Struthio camelus: one gene and its partner. The protein of the gene in region 2 binds, or shares a complex with, the protein of the main gene of each other region. Links are inferred from orthologs where the notes say so. Each region holds a gene or a part of one and is shown on either strand. Other genes may lie near its edges. The genes, in order: ERCC3 and GTF2A1.

Region 1 (7,821 bases), on a different chromosome or scaffold from region 2:
GAGTCAAAACACAAACCCTCCAAAAATTTAACCTTGAGCATCCTGAATTTTTTTTTCCCTTGAGAGTCATCAATAACGACGGTCATTGGAGAGCACAGTTAAAATGTGAACCAAGAGAGACTTAAATCTGAACAGGCAAAGGGGAAATGTTTTTCTTGGAGACATCTAATAAGACAATAAAAGCCTGCTAATAATCCTAGCATTAGTTTTAGAATCAAAAAAGAAGCAGCAGCACACTAGATTAGAGTCCTAGGGCTCAACTGCGGCTGTAAGACAGAAAAGAACTTTATGAAGAAAAGAAAGGGAGACAGGGATAACACAGGAAAGTGTTAGGAGAAGTTTGAGTTTTCTGCTTTCTCCTTCCCTCTCCTCTCGCTACCTCAAAATCATAGGTTTACATAAAACCGGTTAGCTCTAAACCAGTGGATCTCTCAAGATTCCTTCCAACTTTATCTTCCATACATAGAACACATCAGATTCAATCCAGTAAGCAGATTTCACACAAACACACGCCTCTTGTCAGGCCACTTGCTTGTCCTTCCTGAATAACAGATTACAAATAAAAACACATGAGACTGAAGGACAGCTGTAGAAAAGCTTTCTAACCTAGATTCTTATAAATTGGGAGTGAATGAATGAAACAATTATCTGAAAACCTTAATGAGACATTGCAAGTCCAAGCAATAAAGAAACAAGCTAGAACATCAAATTAGTATCCTGTTGCAGTAACGTAATGATCAGCACCAGGAGCTCAGGAGAGTCAAACTGAATGCATTGACTAATGCATTAAATGCTTTGAAACAACTGAGAATATGATCTTGTGGTAATGTATGTCGCAATCAACTGGGAGCTGTAACGCAGTTTTCAACTCAACAGCTACTGAGACCACAGTCAGAGTTGTTTATGTACAGCGGTGCGCTTGTTTCGAAGACTTCCTCCTCCATGCTAATTAAGGAAGAAGCTGCTTACCTGTTGTGTTTCAGTACCAGCTTTACCTTCCCATAGCTGACAGTACACAGCTACAAACAAATAAGAATAGTCATTAGGAACGTATAAAGGATTGTTTCTAGGTTTGGGATCAGATACTGCAACACATTTCCATTTTTTGTGGGAAAGGGCAACAGAGTCAAACATTTACTTACAGTGTTATTATGCTTAGGGAAAAAAAACTACTTTAACAACTACTTTCAGATTATGCATACATCATCTCACATAGGAGATCAACCACAGACATTCAGTTTTTATATTCAATTCCAGTCTCCTTCTAGGATGGCAAAAACACACTTGCAAGATAAGGAGGCTCTGTTTTATAGTGCACCAACTACTCCAGCTAACTTCCCACATTACTAACCTTCAGAGTAAATATGAGGAAGCTTACTCCACGTGCGTTTCCTCTGGCCTAAAGCATGCACACTAAGGCTTTGTTTTAGGACCTCCATTTCAAGCTATAAGCCACATATAGGCTACATTATGAAAATATTATTTGTGCAACCATGTATCTTATTTTTTGTCTTTATCCACAGTAAAGTCTCTGACCTCTTGAAACAGAGTAACAGGATAGAATATGACTGTGAAAGCAATGAGTGAGTAAAAACCAATGAAGCAGCAGCAGCAGCAGGAAGAGATTTCCGCAGTAGCAGCAGATAAATTTCCCATAATAGGCTTACCTTGATAAACTGAATTATTCCATCTGGGACACCAGTCTTGCTCAGTTTTTGTAAATACTCTGTGATGTCGCTTGTTTGTAAGCCAACACTAACAGCAGCATAAAGCGAGTAAGCAGTCAGCTTGTATTCATGGATGTGTGTTGGTCTGCACACTGGCTCAGCAATAGCAACCAAAAAATCCTGTGCGTATTTGTAAACTGGAGAAAAGGCTTCCAGAAAGATATGGCCATCAGGAGCCTACACAAGGAAGAAAAAACATGCTGAAAGCACACCAATGTTAGTTGAGAAAAACAAGGAGTGTCCTGTCAAACAGCTGTTATGACACAGAATGACTTCACTCTTTAGGTGATAACGTTATCACCACGTTTCAGAAAAAGTGACGACCCTAACAATGAAATTACAACAAGCAGAAATAATATAATTTTATAAACAAGACCTAAATTAAAGAAATGAAGAAACTAACACAATATACACTGTATATCACTGTAGCTGTTTCTCCCCATCAAGGTGTTGAGACTCTTTAAAAAAAAGAGAAAACTTTACACAGAACTACAAAAACTGACAAGACACAGAAGGAGATACAGGAATATGAAACTTTCATCTTCTGCGTTTGTCAGTAGCCTTTCTAGGATGCTAACAAAAAAAACACATCCAGATTGATTAAGCTTTCTAGACTAACATCTTAGCCTTTTTCTCATTCTTTGTTTTAACAATTAAAAAAAAAAATACATTTTCTTGCTCCAAACAGGAGCAAGCTTCCAAACTTCCCTTCCTCCCCGTCCCCCATTTTACCAGAAGGAAGAGAGGAGGAAAGGTGCCAACTGTGTTTCACAGCATTCAATAACAGACACCCTGCAGAAGCTGGCAGGGCAGCTGCCTCTTCTAAATATGCTTTCGCTATTGGCCATGTTTTACATAGGTTTCTTGACTTCCCTTTTAACGCAGAGAAAACAAACGGTACCAGATAGGGGATATCAGACCACGTTGATTAGTGACGTTTCATTCCAACGTACAAACCAAGTTACTGCGTGAGGGACCAACGCATCCTACTTGTCTTATTAACTCCACCGGTTTCTGCCAGAGCCGGTTTCGCATTCCTCCCGGAAACAGCTAGCTAACGTACTCGTGCTCCCCCAACCCGTTAAGGTGACTGCACGCGTGCAGAAAGGAGCGCCCGGCGCGGCGGCCCCCGCCCGCCCCCGCCGGCCGCGCGGCCCGCACGCACCACCCAGAGGGGCCGCGAGGCGTGGTCGGCCTTCAGCGGCATGTGCTGCCGGTAATCCTTGGCGCCGTACTCGTCCACCCGGGCGCCGCTCTCCTCCACCTGCTTCCCGGCCGCGGACGGCACCGCTTCCTGCGGGTCTTTGCCGGCAGCGTCATCGTCCTCCTCGTCGTCCTCTTCGTAATGGCGCTTCTTGGACTTCTTCTTGTCTGCGAAACCATCAGGAGCGGGGTGAGCGGGGGGGGGGGGGCGTTGAATGGGGGGTGGGAGCCGGACCCCCCCCCCCACCGCCCCCGCCGCGCTCACCCCGCTCCTTCCTGCCCATGGCCGCCTCGCCCCGCAGTGTGGGGGGGGGAACGGTCGCGTCACTTCCGCCGGGGAGGGGCGTGACGTCACGGCCGCCCGCCGCGCCGGGGGCAGAGCGGGAAGTGGAATATTCCCGTTTGGGGACGCTCAAAGCGCCGTTTTCGGCAGGCGCCGCGGCCGCCCGCGCAGGGGAGGGAGGTGGCTGCTGCCCGCCCGGGCGAACGGAAAGGCAGCGACCAGCAAGAAAATAAAACAGGTAAATACAGAGAAACTGGTTTAAAAAAAAATCAAAAATGTTTATAATTTTTTTTTAAACAAGAACAGTTTTGAAAACATAACAAAGTCAAACGTGCATGAGAGGCGACGGACAGAGCGCACGGAGTCGGTCAGCTCTTTCTGAGCTAGGGCTTAAGGACAAGGCAGCAGCGCGCCGCGGGACTAGCGCGACAAGCCTTCCTTGGCACCGCTTTAGGCTTTCTGAAGAGCACTGGAAATTCAGGTGTTGGATTGACATGCTGCTCGTGTAAGAGAGTAGGCCAAGTCTTTAAAGCATGTTGCCAACGTATGACGTTCACCCATCAGCAGGGGGACAAAGGTGCTTTAATCTTTTCCCAGCATGAGCGAAGGAGCAAGGGAGAGGGGCTGCCAAGGAGAGCCCGAGGCAGACCGGGGCAGGGGAGCGCAGAAGGGGCTTCCCCGACTGGTGTTGTCTTCCCCCTTCTTTATTCCCCAGTCAGCTCTGGGGATTCAAAGATTGCTTTTCACCTTTTCAGAACAGTGTATTTTCTCTGCATCAATTAAATACTTCAGCATTTGGGGTTTTTTGTCCGTTTTTTTTTTTTAAACAAAATTCTTAAAAGAGAAATCACACTGTTGTCCCTACAGAGTGTTTTAATATCATCTCTAAAGTACAATTCGTGTCTGATTTTGGAAATACAAATACATTTTGAATGGTTAAAAACAAAAATTAAAAAAATATTTTGAACATCAGCCAGCTGAAAATATATTTATCTAGTAAATAATCTCTCAAAGCTTTTATATATTTAATTATTCTAACTAAACATAGTACCCTTAAAAAACAAGTTCATAAAAATGTAAAAATGAAATTGTGGAATAAGATTACTGGGATATATATATATACACACAACCATTCAACGCATACATAGAATTACAAGTACCCTTAAGTTTGGAAGGTTGTTAGACAAATGGAACTAGTAAGCAACGCTCAACTCCTGAGTTCCTCAACCAAGATAACCATAGGCTAATTTTTAATTTTTTTTCTTTTTTATACACAAGATATTCCATGTAAAGCAGCAACAGCAGTGCAGTTACTGATAGCAACATCTCAAAAGTAATAAAAAAACCATACATCCAGACAGTAGTACATTGCACACACACGTGATTCTCATACGCCCCTCAACAATTGGTCAGAGTATTAAATCAGTGTACAAATTAAATATTTCCAGAAATGTGCAAAAAAGTCAACGTTGATAGAAAAAAACACCTTTGTGTACATACATTACAAACTGTGCCCAGCATTCAACTGAGAGTAAAAACATTTACAGTGAGAAACTGATAGATTAAATAGAGAATTTAATGGCTACATAAAAAAATGTACATTAGATCAAGAGTAAATTTACAAATTTTAATTCCTAGCTTCATGAAAACTAAAAGCCTACGTTCCAATTTATCTAAGTCTCCCTCCACATATTTACAATGATATTCCTTTATATGACTTGCGTGAGGTCTGAGATGACAGACACTATTTTTCATAATAAACTATTTCAATTTTAGGATGACACCACCTTTTAAACTGGTATTCATGAGAAACAAACACTAGGAAACTGACAATCTGATGCCTGTTCAGAAAAGAAAATGCAATCCTTGTTTTTAAATCCACATTATATACTCTTTGGGGAAAAGGATAAGCTATTATTGGGGGAAAAGACATGAAAAACATTTGAAATATTTCCTGCAAGTAGCCACTCTAGAGTTACCATATCCTTTTCCTTATTTCCCCACAAAAGACCTTGACCTCCAGTCCTGATCAGTGGACTCAGAGTAAGGACTGAATCACAAGATAGGATTTTAACGTATTTAATCCAGTTCCTCTCCCTTTAAAGCAGGTTCATGAAGAAATAAGACCTAGCCAAAGCATGACTGCTAACACTGTTTGATACACGAGAATTTTCTCCATCTCCCCTTGCCCCTCAAATATACGGATGTATACATTGCTAGAGAGAAACCAACCAGTTGCTTTATGTAGCACAGCGCGTGGCCACGAGAGTCACCTGCCAAACTCCCCGTATGGCCAGGAGCTGCAGGACACGGGTCGCATCCCCGGAGCGCAGGGCCGCGCGACGCTGCTCTGCCCCAGCGCGCCCACCCCGCAGCCTGAGCCCGACTCCCTCCAGCAGCAGGGATCTGCAGGGCCTCTGACTCCCGTGGCGGAGCCGTGGCATTTCGCTCTATGTTAACGCTCGTGAAATTCAGAAGCTATCGGTGGCCACCACCTACGCAGTATTTCAGTAATGCCAATTAAAATGAAAAAATGGACTGTGCATAGGCAAAGCAGAGAAAATAAAATGAAAAAAGATCCTTTGCTTCCGATCAAGAATTTTGAGTTAGAAACCCCAGTTTGGAAGCAATTCTGCCCCCTTTGGTGTGCGTTTGGGGCTCCTCTTGAAGGCAGCATACACCCCTTAAAGTTGTGGGTGAGATCTGGCTCTGAAGTAAAACAGACTGCTTCGCAGCAGCTTTGAAATTTTCTTATTGTGGAGCACAGAGCAACGTGGATCACGAATCTACTTTTCTTCATGGTATTCCGTAAGTGTCCCAAAACTCAAACCTGGCTACAAAGTAAGTTGCCAAATGCAGTCACCAAGCTTGTACGTTATTTTTAGAATGACATCGATAAGATTAAGTTAAAAAGAGTTTTAAAAAACAAACTCTTCATTTTAATGCTGGCATGAATTTTGCACATCAAAACAGCAACAACAAACACCCAAATCTTTTAAATATGGGCAGTGTCCATCACTTTTTACTAGTACCTGCTTTCTTCAGTTAGCGATAGCTTACTGACATATATATGCGTATATAAGGAACAGTACTAATCCATGAAACATCACTTTTGGCTATATGTAGATGGGGATAGAAAAGCTTTGGTAATTGTATGTGATTTTACACTGCATACTTGTCATGAACACAAGACAGCAAGTTACCAGCAAGAAGAAGAGATACTGGCAGTAATACTTTTGCTTTTCCAGAAACACCATATGGACTTACATTCAAGCACACAAGTTACGCTTTTTCATATGCATGACAAACTTTCAAGACTGAAAAAAAAAAAATCAAAATTCAATTTTAAGTAACTATAGATCTGATCAATTTGCTCAAGTCTCTGAAGCTGCATACGCATTGCTCTATGTTGTCTAAAAAGAATGGCTTGCTGTACTGCACTGTACCTCCTGGTGCTGCAAGAAGGCTTTCAGTCAAGACAATGGCAGGATTAGGATTATCTAACAGAAACAGGGAACAGTTTAACGGGAACAAAGCTAGCTTCACTGAGGAGTTTGCCGAACTGCTAAATCAGAACTAATATTCCTCTATATTGAAAGTAGACAACTTTGAGTACAGTAACATATTTAGAAGTACACCAACCGTCACTTACTAGCCCATTAAGAACTTTTAAGATCTCTGCAGTAAAACCAGAGTCTAGTACCCAGAGAGCTAGGAAACTGTATCTTGGCTGTAACAGCGTCTGTATGAGTGCAGAGAAGTAGTTTTTCTGCATCAGTTTACAGTCTCCAAAATGCAATATGAAAACTGTATTAGCTTAGGTAGTACTCATCAGGAAGTACTTCAAAAATCACTTTTTTAAAGTCTCAATTTAAAAGTCTACAGCAGATTACACATGAAGAACACTTTTCAATGCAGTTAGTGAATTTTGGTTTGGGCACTTGAGAAATGTACTCAAAGACTGTTTTGGTGACACAGAATTGTACGACAGCCATAGCATTTCAATACGGTGTTCAAATATGAACAAAACTAAGGCATACAGATAAAAAGGCACTAGCTAAAAAACCAGCTGTTAAATAACTTATCATGCTGGTATACTGAGAGGACTGTTTAGCTACAGTAGGAATTGCAAATCAAGTGAGTTTTTAAGACTAAATTAAAACTGAGAAAGTAACAGATTTATCAATCAAGAAAAAAGTCAATTATACCCATACCTTTTTTCTGTACTGGCATGGATATTATCATCCTCCAAATTAAAAATGAACAATCTGCTCCTCGAACAGGACTGGGCTGGATCAAGGCTCACCCATTTGTGTTCCCATCAAATGGAACTTGTGTGAACGGTTATTCATCATTTTCCTCATTCCAGCCAAAGTTGGTTAAAAAATACACAGAAGTTTAATAAGATCGGCTGAAACAGCAATAAAAATTCTATTTGTGCCAGAGAGAGCCACGAGCAAAAAATGCCATGAAAGTTATCACCACTAAAGTCAAGTTATACAAGTCGTTAAACTTTTGTTACTTAATATGTGTAAACAGCCAGAATAATAAGATTCATTAGCAGATAAGTCCTTTGAAAATACACATACTCGCTATCAACCTTGACTC
Region 2 (7,930 bases):
CAGAGTTTCGAGGGTACTGGAACTGCACCTCTTTGTAGGTCTTATTACAACGCCCAGGATTTCAACAGTTGGGATTCCAATAACCAATATATTATGAAGAGATATTGCTGTCTAATGCAGAAAGCCTGCAGCATGTTTGTCCCTGGTTACTTCTGCAATTATCTCTGAAATACCACCAATCAATTCCTCTTGCCCATGGAGCTCCTTTAAGGATAGCTAGAACATATTGTAAAGGTAACTAGTTTCAGTTACAATTACATCAAACAGGTGCATAAAAAGAAGTAACACTTTATAATATATATTTATAAGCAATTACTGCAGCTGTCAGACTTTTACAAAGGAATTACTTTCATCACCTACAAAATCTTTTACTGCATATAAACATTAACATTTTATATGCCCTGTATTAGGGAGAACACACTTCTAGCAATTGAGATTTGATCAGATGTTGACATGATGCTGTTGGAAAAGTCTAGCCTGCTAAAGTTATCATGCAGCTGCAGTGTTTCAAACTGCTCTTAACCATAGGGTTATCAAAGTGGGCAAGTGCAGTCGTTGTTACTACTGAATGAAATTTGAATTTTACAAAGTTAACCGTGCACTACTGATCGCAATAGGCAGATCTTTGCAAGGTTCTGCTTAGCTGAGAATCAGCCTAAAGCATAGCTAGCTTCATCAGGCTCATTTTAAGTTTTGCCTTTGTTAATTTGAACAGAATGTTCAAACACAGACATTTCCCGAGAGACTTTCACAAAGGTTTTGTTATTCCAGTATAGAGATACAGCCCAGAGAAAGCAAGCCTGAGTAAACTGCTGCAACAAAGATATTTACAAGTACTTTGGAGATTATTCACAGTAATATCTTTTTTCTTCTATTCATTACTAACTTGATTAAAAAAAAGGGGGGGGGAGGGAGGGAGGGAGAGAGAGAGAGAAGTAAAACCTCTAATTTACTGTACAGAAATAACAGAAATGGAACCTTTTCAACTAAAAAAACAAAGCCAGAGGTTTATGAAGAGAAAGATAACTAACAGATTTAGGTCACACACATGATATGCTTTTACTGAGCAACTGCCCTGCATGTAATCACTGACTAATTTTCTAAGACTCTCTGATGCAAAATCTGCTAAAATATCCAAGCAACAGATGCTACCTGGCGACTACATGACTCTACATCATAAGCAGGTCTGTGAAATTTCAGATTTGAAAGAAAAAAATAGTATGTTTTACATTTGCTACTACTGCTATTTTAAGCAGCATATAAAATAATTAAATAATTAATAATTGGAATTAAATGAAAAAATAGTAGAATTCTAAAATCTTTGCTCTTCCCAGTCTGTAATAAAAATATTTGCATGCTCATTAGCTTTTGTCACCAGAAACACTCCCAAGTATTTAAGTAGTACCTGTGGCCCATTACCCACAGACAAAACTTTAATATTAATTAATGATGCTTTTAGCTCCAGAGCTGCTGTCAGCCCGCGCTCGGACCTTGGCAAAGTGCCTAGGACAAGTACCACATCTCTTTTTGACACACTGGATCTGAATCATTTAAATTGCTCTTTCCCTACCCGGCAGAAAGGCTATTTAGAAGAGCTTATGGGCACACAGGACTCTGCACTCTCTAAGAAGAAAAAAAAAAAATCCCACCCACAAGCAAACAAAAAACAAACACTTTCACAACATGGGAAAGGGTGAAAAATCCCTTCCTTTGTGCAATGCATAAATACAGGGGAAAGTCCATTTACACCAGCGATCACCAGTCAGGAGAGCATCCCCTCTACTCGAGCCGACAGAAAGCACAACTGCTTTACAGCCCGCTCGCTCCAGCGACTGGGACTGAAGAGCAACAGCCGGGCGCAACAGCAAACCCAGCTAAACCCGGCACAGGATCCGAGTGACAAAAAGACTGTCTCTCAGCCTCTGCCTCTGATGCATGCACCTCCCAGCCCGCTCTCCGCGGCTCTCTCCCTATTTAAAGGCTGATGTGGTGTTTAAATGGAGAGGCGGTGACGTGGGGCTGGAAAGCACCTTCCCATCCAGGCAGAGTCTATATTAGAGAGCGGCAATAGCTCTATATAAACAGGGCAGCCGCAGGGAGGAGGAACACAAGGCGCAGGGAGACAGAAAGGCAGGGGCGGCCATGATGGATCCCAGCGCCACAAACAAGGGGCCAAGCCCGCGCCGGGCCGCCTGGATTCCCGGTTTGTCTCGGCGGTGCGGGGGCGGGCTCGGGGCCGGTTGCGGCGTAGAAAGGGGAAAAGGCAAGAAGCGATCGGTGGGGCTCGGTGGCTACGCAGGTTTATGTGACTGCTTATTGCAAACCTATGTGAATACCAGTACAACAGCAAGCCACCCAAGAAGGTGCAGAAAGCACAAGAAGGTGAAGACCGGGGAGGGGGGGTAAGAGTTTTCTTTCTTAAAATAAATACTTCCTCGCTCGCTGGAAAAAAGTTAAGGGCTTTCGCCTCGTTTAGCCGATCCTGCAGGGCTGGGATAAGTGCTTTTCAACCATCGTCGCCTCGTTATAAAGCAACATAAAATGGCTCCAGCAGAGCCCGGGCGGGTTTCACCTCACAGACACCACAAAACCGAAACCTGGCCCGAGTGCCGCTTCCCCTCTCGCCGGGACGGCAGCGGCGGCAGGCGGCGGCCCCGCGCCTCGCTCCGCTCTCGCCCCCGTCCCGGCGGCTCCCTCCCGCGCCCCCCGCCGCCCCTCCCCTCCCCTCCCGTCCCCACCGGCGGCGGCGCGGCCCCGGCCTCCCCGCGGGGCTCCGCGGCCCGCCTTGGCCGCCCGCGCCCGGCCGCCGCCGCCGCCTCCCCGCGCCCCTCGGCGCCGCCGCCGCCGCCCGCCGCTCCGCTCTCTCCTCCCCGCCGCCGAGGCGGCCGGCGCCGGGCGCCACAAGTGGGCTCCCCGCCGCGCCCCCCGCCGCCCCCGCCGGGCTGCCCCTTCCCGCCGGGGGTGGGGGGGGAAGGGAGAGAGACAGAGAGAGAAAGAGAGACGGGACTGTCCGAGGCGGCGGCGGGCGGGAAGCAGCGCGGGGGAGGGGGCAGCGAGCCCTGCCGGCCCCCGCTGCCTGCGCTGCCCCCGGGCCCCCCTCGCCCCCCGACCCGGTCCTTACCACGGGGTTTGTGTTAGCCGAGCTCGCCATGTCCCGAGCCCCCCGGGACGCCCCCAACCGCGGGGGGAGTCGCCCCTAAAACAATAAACCTGCCCGGCTGCGTCCCCCCAAAATCGCGCGCGTCCCGCCCCGGCTCACGGGCAGCCCCGCGGCCTGGCCCGGCCTCGCTCGCCGGCCCTGGGGCTGCAGCCGCCGCCGCCAGCCGCCCGCTCTGCCCGCTTCGCCCCTTTATATAGCGAGAGCCGAGCAGCTGCGCGAGCGGCCAGGGCGAGAGGGGGACGCGGGCGGGGGGGGGGGGCGGCGAGGCACCGCGAGAGCCTGCGCGAGAGCGCGCCCTTGCGAGCGCGTCACGTGAGGTGCCCGCCCCGCCGCCATGACACTTACTGAGGCGGAAGTCGGTGCGGAAGGTCACGCACCGCCTTCTCGCCACCGCCAGGCGTACCGAGGCGGAAGTCGCCGCGTTGCCGCCTCACCGGCTAGAGGCGGTGGGAGCGAGGCGCCGCCTCTCGCCGCGTGATGTCACCGCGCCAGGCGCTCGCCTGGCCGTGGCTGCTTCTGCCGCCGCCGCCGCGCCGCCCCGCCTCGCCTCAGCGCGTCCGGGAGCAGTGGGCTGCGGCGGGGCGGGGTGGGCCCGGCCCGGGGGGCTGCCGGGTGCCCTCAGGCAGCCGTTACACTAGGAGGCCTGACTTCAACCGAGCTGGCACTTAACTGCTGGTCGTGAGCCGGCAGCCCTTGCCAGCCAGGCACGGCAGAGCTTAAACCACTCCGACTACGTTTGTAGGAGCCCTCTGCTCCCTGATAACCAAACAACAACAGAAATCCCCAGCCTCGCTCTCCCTGCCCCGTAAGGACACACGTCTTAAACTCAGCCTCGCCCGATGGGGGCTCATGCCTTCAGCCACCAGCAGTTACACAAAGCAGCCACGGGCCTAAGGCCTGTTTCTGTCAGCCACAGGCCCCAAAGTGCTTCCAAGCTCCGCAACGCACTCCAGGCTGGTGATAGGAAACCTAGGCTACAGCTTCCCCGGGCAGGGAGAAGGTTAAAATCAAAAAGTCAGCAGGGTCCTCCATCAGGGACTCACTGTGGCCCTCAGACAATGTTGCGTTGGGCAGAACTGCTTCCTTTAGCTGATCCTGATGGAGTCAGTGGCCGCAGGGTCTCCCAACTGCACGAGGAGTTGTCAGAGCCATGCCAGGTGGCTTCTCGTTTCCCCTCTTTATTGCCTCTTCTCCCTTTCCTTATCCCCCTTTTTCATGGCAACCTGTAAGACACATAATGCAGGAAAATCCTTTCAACCTTGAATGCTGTTAAATGGAAATTAGGTTCACTCACCACTGCCATCTTCACTCAGTCCTTTTTAGTGCAAGTTTTGAACCCAACTCATCCTGTAGATTATCACCAATAAGTCACCTGTGTAAGTCTCACTCAGACATAAAGTAATGCTGAATTCTGACTCCTCACACATAGAGCATAGCATGTTACACCTCCTCAGCATGAAGACTGTGCGACTACTTGTGACCTTCAACCTAACGCCCTACCCATTAAGTAGCAAGTCTGAGAACAACCGTCTGGTATCCTTCAGTAGGAGGGAACGTGCTGGCCGATACAAAGACCTTCCTGTCCCATCCCATTCTTCCAAATTCTTCAGTTCTATAGTGATGAATGCTTCCTCTCCCATCTGAAACGCAGACTTTGTATAGGGACATGACAGATTTACAGCGGGCCATCTGATGGACCTACTCTTCATTGCGTGATCTGCTGGAGCCCTGGCAGAAAAATAGCCTGAACGTGAGACTGTTAGCAGAGTTTACAAAGTTTTACCTTCCTCAGCTGTCTGCTCCACCTTTTTGCTGGGCATTTCCACTCCCATGGCAGAAGTGACAGGACTGAAGGGGTGCTACCTCCTCAGCAGCCATAATTCATGATCTAACATTAGCTAAACCATGCATGAACTACAGGGACTGAAATGCTAGTATTCCTTTACTGCCTACTTATCAGAGACATCAAACTCTCTCAGAGAGTTTGTAAATTGGACTTGTAAATTGTCTAATGCTCACAGTCAAAGCCTTGCATTTTCCACAGCTGAAATAACTACACAAATAGTCACTCAAAACTTGAAGAAGAGGTTTTAGCAAAGGTACATTTATTTTCTCACAGCTAGGACAGGCTGAGTTCACACATGGTTAGTTCTCTCACTCGCTCTGTCTCCTGCTCTGCTGAAGTGACAGGCAGTAACTAGTGTGCCACCAGGAATGAATCATATTGCCTTGAAAAGGGGAGGGATACAAGTGGCACTGGAAAGCTACAGTTCCTTTCCTTAGATAGACCTAAGCCTACCCTGGTTTTGAGGGCGGCCCACCGAGCCATTCAAAAATTAACAGGTGGACATGGTAGCAGTAATGGTTCAGTGAGGTGTCATACTGCTTTGTGGAACAGGCACACAGTTCAGTAGACTATGCTCCTAGGTTATCCTGTGTGCATAGCCACAGTTTCCAATGATATCCAGGGAATCTGTGGCACTGCTAACTTCCAAGAGCTTCTAAAAGAACGTTGCTATGAGGAAAATCAAGGCCTCGTAAGAAATGCCCTACTGAGTCGGGTAGCGCTCTGGCTAATCCGGTGGCAGTAAGATTTACTACTTAGGGAGAGCAAGTGAGTTGTTAGCCGCTTTCTGAAGTCTGTTCGCCTTCCTGCTTCGCCAGCATCCACAGCTGTCCTGTTGTACTCATGTTGGTGGGTTCTACTTCATTTAGCAATTCTGTTAGACTAGAGTAACATAAGTGTGTACCTATGGTACAGTAGGAACACTGATAACCTGGATAGCACTAGTATACATAAACTGACAGACAGCATAACCACTAGCATTAGCTATGTTTATCCATTAGCATTCTCTTTTGTTTGCCAGTCAGGAGTGGATCATACTAAGCTTATGTGCTATCCTGTCTTTTTTCTACCAAAGGTTTCTGTCATTGCCAAGTCAGCCTGATTTTGCTGCTCTAATAGTGCAAGTTTCAGTGTTGACTGGACGTTCATGTTATAGCGGCTGTACCATCTAGACGTGAACTCCATAGTGATGCACATTATATTACTTTATACCCAGTATGAAGATGACAACATTTGGGTCCTCTCCTTCCTTCATCGCAAAAAGAGTGCCAAAGATGGAATAGCATAAGGAAAAAGCACAATACTGCCTTAGATCAAAAAACAATCCTTGGCATGCTGAGTGAGGACATACATTACAAGAAGAGTCCCAAGCTCAATCCTAGGTATGATCAACAATCTTTCTAAATCTAAATCATTTCTAATCTAAATGTTTAGGACAAAGACACACAAATCATCTTTTATAGCCAAAGCCATGCACTCAGAGGTGCACAGCCTACTTCAGTGCCCTGAATGATTCTGTTCTGTAAGTGCCATAAGCATCCCTTGCTCTCAGTGGAGCAAGAAAGTGACTTACTACTGCAACATTAGTTTGTTAAGTTAATGTAAATGTTTATGGAAATGTTCTTAGCACCTCTCCTTTGTGGTGCGTCACAAAACTACATCTTTTACAAGAAGGGTTTGGGGTTTTTTTGTCTTTTTTTGTTTTAATTCAGATGTAGGAAGGGGGGAGCCATTTTCATTATGATTTTTGGGTTGATAACACTTCCATCCTAAGGTTCTTTGCAAGTACTAATGGACTGCTACTAATGCATAGCATATCTTTCAAGAAGATATTTTGCAAAAGGAGAACTGATGTAAGAGGGATAAAAAATATTTGCATAAATACTTGCTACTGGCAGGAGCAGACTTGAAATTCAAAGGTGATAAGTATCTGTAATTTCCATGAAAGCTGCGGGCTAGTTCAACTGAAAACAAGAACCACAAGATCGTGATGCTTTCTTTAGTATTAAGTCAAGATAGATTATATTTATGACCTTCAGCTTTTTATTTATCTCTATTTTTTTTTTATTTTTAAATAGAGAGGCTTTTTGGCTCATCTGAAGAAAATACAAAGAAAAAAGTTAAGCTGATGTTCTCTCTCCCAAGAACAGATGATGAATAAGCCTAATCTCATACAACTAGAGGATCACTATCAGATTGCCCTGATTTTTCGGTGAAAACGTTTCTGATCATACAATGAATCACAGAGTACCTTGTATCAGATGTTGCTGACACAGTGCTTTATAATTTCTTAGTTCTGGAAACATCTGATAAACTTGGTAAGTGTAATTATGTAAACAGATTTTCCCCAGGGCTTATTTAGACAAGGAAAACAGAAATTGGCTTTAACTATATTATAGAAGTGCAAAGCTGTAACACAGATTATACAGAACACGCGTTACCACCAGCACATCTTCCAGTTTCATCATCCTTAGGTTTTGTCCACGCTACTGGTCTTTGCTACTGTAGTTGGGCAGGAAAAGTCTTCCACTATGGACATGACAGCAGCATACAGTTTTCAGCCAGTATATTACACTGTCCTACTAAATACAAGCTAAGCCAGCAAACACTTTTTAAAGGCATGTTTCGTGGCATAATGATAATATCAGGAAGGGAGAGAGGCTTTCTACCCCCTTCTTTCCTAACAGTTTCCCAAAAGAATGGGGAGTTACACATCTAACTTCCAACTGCAGCAGCACATATTAAAAAGATAGAAGAGGAGCATAGACCGAACCAAGTCAGTCTAGAAAACTTAACTGGAGAAAAAGATGCTTGAAGTTATGCTCACACATAAATTTAGAGCTTATACATCTAATTCACTCTTTTTGCTTACGCTCACAGTACCAAAAAAGAATGTGACCTTAAATAAAACTTGAAGTTGTTAA

What was found.
Region 1: GTF2A1 (region 2) and ERCC3 share a complex: the UniProt entries of both Homo sapiens proteins name them as parts of the TBP-based Pol II pre-initiation complex. The link is inferred for Struthio camelus from reciprocal best matches to the Homo sapiens genes GTF2A1 and ERCC3.

The regions. Positions count from the first base shown.
Region 1 is NC_090947.1:29,888,045-29,895,865, reverse strand, and holds the start of ERCC3 (general transcription and DNA repair factor IIH helicase/translocase subunit XPB), read right to left. Parts: upstream 3,293-7,821; 5' UTR 3,215-3,292; coding exon 3,196-3,214; intron 3,121-3,195; exon of another isoform or gene 3,099-3,120; coding exon 2,893-3,098; intron 1,905-2,892; coding exon 1,668-1,904; intron 1,020-1,667; coding exon 970-1,019; intron 1-969. UniProt on the Homo sapiens protein: ATP-dependent 3'-5' DNA helicase/translocase. Binds dsDNA rather than ssDNA, unzipping it in a translocase rather than classical helicase activity. Component of the general transcription and DNA repair factor IIH (TFIIH) core complex.
Region 2 is NC_090946.1:60,987,751-60,995,680, forward strand, and holds the start of GTF2A1 (transcription initiation factor IIA subunit 1), read right to left. Parts: upstream 3,403-7,930; 5' UTR 3,152-3,402; coding exon 3,122-3,151; intron 2,204-3,121; exon of another isoform or gene 1-2,203. UniProt on the Homo sapiens protein: TFIIA is a component of the transcription machinery of RNA polymerase II and plays an important role in transcriptional activation. TFIIA in a complex with TBP mediates transcriptional activity.